2 linked regions of the Saccharomyces cerevisiae S288C genome follow. The gene in region 2 interacts genetically with the main gene of each other region. Each region holds a gene or a part of one and is shown on either strand. Other genes may lie near its edges.

Region 1 (3,582 bases), on a different chromosome or scaffold from region 2:
TCGCTGGAGTAGGCTTCTGGACCTTCTTTGACGGTGTGCCAGAAGGTACCTGTTTTGAGAAAAAAGATAACAAACTCGATTGCTTCATTTTCTTTTGAGAAGATGTGGAGCCATTTTCGAAGTGTGCAGTCTTAGAAGTTTTAGGGGTAGCTGGGGCCATTTTGGAGTTCAAATTGGCTTTGTCAAAATTAACTAGTTGCTCCAATTAAAAAATCTTATCTGTTAGCAAAGAAGGCTCCAAGGAAAAGCTCTTATTAGTTTCAACAGATGTAATTTCAAATATTTTCTCTATATGGCGATGACCTATACATGAATTTATGAAAAAGTGAGACGCGTATCAGCTACTGCTCACGCGTTTATTTTCTCCGGGCAATGGTTGTTCAAAAAGCCAAACTTAACCAGAAGCCATTCATTATGTCACACATATAAAAATGCTTGCATACCATTAGTTGGAAATGGAGACTTTTCTGTTTCAATTTACACTAAATACATCTATTTATTTAAGATTGGAGAGCATGCTGCAAAAAATCAGGGTCTTCCTCCAAGGATTCCTTGATAATGTCTAAACCGCCTTGAAACTCCCCATTTATATAAAGTTGAGGGAAAGTTGGCCATTCAGAAAACTTTTTCAAGTTTTGTCTAACAGATTCGTCTCTTAATATATCAAAGAAGCCAAATCTTACTTGATGTTCTCTCAAGATACCCACAAGTTGTCTCGAAAACCCGCATTTAGGTTCAGAGGGGCTCCCCTTCATAAATAACATTACCGGCGCGGCATTGACCAATTTAGTCAATCTAGCGTTTATTTGCTCCTCAGTTTCTTCTTCCTCTTCTTCGTCGTCATCGTCTTCATCATTATGACTCCCCTCATTTACGTTTGCATTTTCCATAGTATGAGTTTGTGATGATCCGGAATTGACTGAGTTCTTGCAGTCTTCTAATAAAGACACATACTCCTTTGGATCCGCGCCGGATAATTCTTTTAAGATTGTCCCTTTGTGAATTATGATAAAATATGGAACAGCTGAGATTTCAAAAAGTTCTGAAATTTCCGAGTTTTCGTCCGCATCAATGGATAAGAAAGAGACGTTGGAATTGGAAGGCTCATTACTAATGGCCTCAAAAACCTGCTTTAATGCTTTGCATGGTTCTGCCCAACTGGTATGGAAATAAAGCACGATTAACTTGTCGCCGGCCGCAGTGGTAGTTAGGTAAGTAAATTGCTCTTGATCGTTAATTTCAATAACAGGCATTTCCTGAAAAAGTTTTGCTGCTGTGTAATATCTTGCTTGGTGGCGTTTATAACAGTACGAGGTGTAGTTAAAAGAAAATGCAGATGGAACCTGAAAAGAACACATTTAGTCTTTGAAATATATTTTAATGACCTCTTAGTTTGGCATCTCATGACCCGGCACACATTCTCTGAAAAAAAAAAAAAGTAACTGATGGTTCAACAGAGAAGCCACAGTTAAAAAAGGTCCTACCCGGATTCGAACCGGGGTTGTCCGGATCAAAACCGAAAGTGATAACCACTACACTATAGGACCGTAACAACTGTGTATTGTTGTATTACGGGCTCGAGTAATACCGCAGTGTCTTGACAATCCTAATATAAACAGTCTTAGGGAAGTAACCAGTTGTCAAAACAGTTTATCAGATTAATTCACGGAATGTCACTTATCTTATATATTATATAAAATATGAATCATACTAAGTGGTGGAAGCGCGGAATCTCGGATCTAAACTAATTGTTCAAGCATTTATACGTTTGGGTAGTTCAGCTAGGGAAGGCCGTGTTTTATCTCATGTTGTTCGTTTTGTTATTGAGATATATGTGGGTAATTAGATAATTGTTGGGATTCCATTGTTGATAAAGGCTATAATATTAGGTATACAGAATATACTAGAAGTTCTCCTCGAGGATTTAGGAATCCATAAAAGGGAATCTGCAATTCTACACAATTCTATAAATATTATTATCATCGTTTTATATGTTAATATTCATTGATCCTATTACATTATCAATCCTTGCGTTTCAGCTTCCACTAATTTAGATGACTATTTCTCATCATTTGCGTCATCTTCTAACACCGTATATGATAATATACTAGTAACGTAAATACTAGTTAGTAGATGATAGTTGATTTTTATTCCAACATACCACCCATAATGTAATAGATCTAATGAATCCATTTGTTTGTTAATAGTTTAAATGTTTTTATCGGAAGAGGTTTTGTCATCACATCAGCAATGTTCTTCTTGGTCTCGATGTAGTATACGTATAAATTATTACCTGATACTTCATCTCTAAGTCTCATTGCCTTTGTGCCAAAAAATCTGTTTCTAAATTTCTCTTCATTTGTAGACTTAATTATACTGATCGTTGATCTACTATCAGTAAGTGAGCCTTTAATAATTGGTTTCTTGTTAAGTTCTTGCACAAGGTGACTGAGGTTATTCAATAGCGGAATAGCTTCACTGACTGCGTGTATTTCTGCTTCTGTAGTTGAAGTGCATGTTAACGAAGCCTTTGTCGACTTTCCTCCAATCACTTTTCCGTTGAGTAGGAAAATGTTACCAATTTGTGACTTGTAATATGGTTGGTTACCATATGAAGCATCGCTTATTGCGACTAGTTTATTATCTGGCTTGGTAGGTTTGTTTTTGTGCCATATTAATTGTTTATCTCTAGTGTCCCACATGAATTGTATTAACTCATATGTCATGTCTAAAACTTGCCTAGAGGGGAATAGTATATGTTGAGCAAGTGTGTTGATGTAGTATAGTAAGTCAAATCTAAATTTATATCCAACATATGAAGCTAGACCAATCAACTTTTGCATTTCATGCACTTTCTCTTTGTATTCATCTTCATCTATTTCTAGTTCATCCTGGTCTATATAATGACCTGGTTGACCTGGAGCTCTAAGTTTCTTTCCTTTTGGGTTCAAAGGTACGTTTAGTTTGGGTAATTTTTCTGTCAAGGATTTTTCCATACCTAATTTCATGTACTTGCTTCTTTGATATTTGATCTCTAATCCAAGTATGTCGTACTGAATTTCGTTATCACCTTCACCCAGATTTATTATCTTTGTATCGTATTGTTTCTTGAGTGTTGTTATGATTTTCTTATTTGCATTTAAGTCTTTGCTGAACAATATCATATCATCAACGAATAAGCAAATTGTTACTTGACTATTCTTAAATACGCATGACCATCCACGAACTTCTTCCATACCACACTGTTTTATCAGGTATGATTTGATAGTTTCGTACCAGTTCGCTCCACTTTGTTTCAATCCATAAAGTGATTTCTTCAAACGTATCAACTTATCATTCATTCCTAAATGTGGTGGAGGTCTTATGTATAATTCTTCTTTGATGTCTGCATACAAATATGCCGAAGATATGTCTAATTGTGTAATATAGTAGTTATTGTCTAATGCAAGTGACAGGGATGTCATTAATGCATAGTGATGTACGGTATTGGATTGCATGCCTGAGTCGTAAGTGTCAGGATGCTGAATATCACCTCTTGCAACAAATCTAGCTTTATGAGTACCGTCACGTTTCCTGTTGAAG
Region 2 (3,049 bases):
GAAAGCGCGATAACCACAAATCGTGATGACCTTGAGAACAGTCAAACTTACGACTTATCAATAATTTCGAAGTATCTGCTCATAGCCTCATATATTTGTTCATATCTGGAACCTAGATACGATGCGAGTATTTTCTCTAGGAAAACACGTATCATACAAGGTAGAGCTGCTTATGGACGAAGAAAGAAGAAAGAAGTTAACCCTAGATATTTACAGCCTTCTTTATTTGCTATTGAAAGACTTTTGGCTATTTTCCAAGCTATATTCCCTATTCAAGGTAAGGCGGAGAGTGGTTCCCTATCTGCACTTCGTGAGGAATCCTTAATGAAAGCGAATATCGAGGTTTTTCAAAATTTATCCGAATTGCATACATTGAAATTAATAGCTACAACCATGAACAAGAATATCGACTATTTGAGTCCTAAAGTCAGGTGGAAAGTAAACGTTCCCTGGGAAATTATTAAAGAAATATCAGAATCTGTTCATTTCAATATCAGCGATTACTTCAGCGATATTCACGAATGATTATCTCCCTGGAAGGTATCCAGAGGGCAGGATACGTTCGAAACAACAACTACGTTATATAAATATTTATACATAGTGGGATAGAATGAACAATTATCAAGTAAACCTTGTATTTTTTGTTCCCACGCTCTACGCTCTGTTTCTTGGATATGGTAATCAAAGATTAATACGTATAACCGTTATTAATTCAGTCCACTAGAAACTATTAAAAGCGCCCTACTGTATGGAAAAACAATGAATGAGGAGACTGAACGGCGCAAAATTGTTAGTTTAGTTGCTCTTTTTGGCGGCCGGCGATAATGTTCTTCACTTGGTATTCTTACCAGGATTGAGCCTGATTTTGTTTTGTCTTATTCTTTGCGATGTCTTCATTTTCTACAAAACCTCTAATTTCTCCGGCAATGGCCCTTGAAACGTCTTCAAAGACTTCAAATGTCACGGTGGGGGTTCTTTTATCTTTAACTAATCGATGAAGAGTTATTAGAATGGTTCTAAACTTATTTTTCAATTTTATTAACACCCTCTCAAATTCCATCACACTTTCATCATCGTTATTCATTTTCAAACCTTTCATTAAAGTACGAATGGTATGTATATTCTTTTCTAGTGTTGGACTATGCAATCCATACGATTCTATAACATCACACAAACCTTCCATTTGTCCCAGGAGCGTAAATCTTTGGAATCCCACTTGTAAACCATACTGTTTACCTTCTAGAAAGCTCTGCTTTATATTCTCATTCTGGCCCTCCAGAAAACCTTCTTGGTAATACTGTTCTTCTAGGTTTAGTAAATTATCAAAATCCATTTTTATTTGTCCAGTGATCTTTACTTTCCATTTACTCTTCAAATATGATAAGTGATTTGATTTAAACAAGTTTTTTTTCATTTTTCTTATAAAACGATTTCTCACCATGATTGAGATTTTTATATTAGTAAGATTATACTGAAAAGGCAAATGGCTACATAGCCAACAAAGAATAAAACAATAAAACAATAAAAAAAGACTTTTTTCTTCGTAAGCATCCTATTGAGAATATTAATCATTTACTTAAGTAGCTACAATACAAAATAGAGTAAAAAACTATTTCTCTTCACTTTCATTCACAATTGTTTGCCAGATCTAACTTCCTTTCCGGTTTTCTTAATCTTTTCTAAAATAAAATCGTAAGGAAGTGTAGTATATACATCTACTAATTGCTTTTCAAGGGATATATCTATTTTGGAAACGTCTGGTTCTAATTTCGTCAAAACTTTATTGACTGCACCAGAACATCCCGAGCAGGTCATGACGACATTGAATTGATAATGTTTTATCTCTGCCATCTTTTGCGCTAGTTCTCTCTTGTGTCGTTGGAAATCTCATCCTGCAATGTTTTAAGATGATTCAAGTCATTTAAGAAGCTCAAAAATGCACTACAAGATGTGCCAACTTTGCACCCCCAAAAAAAACTACCGCATCACGTGAAATTTATTAGAAAACTGAAAAAAAGACAACTTACGCATACGTAATACAAGATGTACATCTATTGCAATGATCATGTAACCTATCCTACGATTAATTATTTTTTAATCATCTAGAGCAGTGCCTCTAATTTCGTAAATATCATCAATGGCATTCCTTCGCAGGGGAGTGTCGGCAAACAATAACTCTATCCATTGGATTAGTTCGTCTGTCGCAAAAAGATAAAAATCCCCATTGTAAAACATCTCCATAATCTCCTTTAAATGTAATGGTAGAAACTTGCCCATAGTGGCGAATTTTTCTCTCATCTTTTTGTAACTTGGTTCCTTCGCTAATAATTGTATATCGGTGTTGTTCACTAATAAAGATACGAGCTCACCCAAATTTTCGGAATTGACCTCAGAGATAATCTGCCATTTTAATATTTCCTTTGTCACGCAATCGTTATATAAAAAGTTTAAGAAAGACAACAAGTAACGGGAACCTTCTTCACCTCTTATTTTCTGCAGTGGACGAACAATTTCCTTCAAGATATAAGGTAGCAGTTTCTCAATGGTGGCGTCCCACGATGGATTTCTCTCGTTCTCACGAAATTCGGTCAATTGATGCCTGATTAGTTGACAGACAATACGATATTTCATGTTCAGTTTAGTTTCCAGCAGGTTCCTTGTTAATTCTTTTATTCTATACAGCTTTTCATCTCGTTCTATTAGATATCTCATATCCACATATAATTGGCACCAATTGTGAGAAAAATTAGCTGTGCACATGGCCATATACGATGTCTGCAAAAGGTTGTATTTGTACGCAAAGTATTGCTCATCAACATGGCTATCTGCAAAGCTACTCTTGAAATTCTGTGAAATTGCCAAGAACAATTTTGGTAACTGTGTAACTTCAATGTGGTCTTTATCAAGTGATCCTACATCATGAGCTTTTAAATGTTCCTTTCCATTTTCTAGGGAAGCATCATCTATATTTTCGTCAATTGCCCAGGCTTCATCCCAGGCATTTTCTTCTTCTTCTGGTTCTTTTTCCTTCTCTTGATTTGTTTTTTCT

The links.
Region 1: mutations in LTO1 (region 2) and GRX3 together harm fitness more than expected from each alone (negative genetic interaction), as found in Saccharomyces cerevisiae (one large-scale study listed by BioGRID).

What each region holds. Positions count from the first base shown.
Region 1 is NC_001136.10:643,678-647,259, forward strand, and holds GRX3 (monothiol glutaredoxin GRX3), read right to left. Parts: upstream 1,254-3,582; coding exon 501-1,253; downstream 1-500. Other genes in the region: mismatch repair ATPase MSH6, read right to left, coding at 1-160.
Region 2 is NC_001146.8:156,015-159,063, forward strand, and holds LTO1 (ribosome biosynthesis protein LTO1), read right to left. Parts: upstream 1,334-3,049; coding exon 845-1,333; downstream 1-844. Other genes in the region: ORC5 (origin recognition complex subunit 5), read left to right, coding at 1-525; copper metallochaperone ATX1, read right to left, coding at 1,630-1,851; DSL1 (Dsl1p), read right to left, coding at 2,095-3,049. UniProt on the Saccharomyces cerevisiae protein: Essential for life in oxygen, but nonessential under anaerobic conditions. Required for biogenesis of the large ribosomal subunit and initiation of translation in oxygen.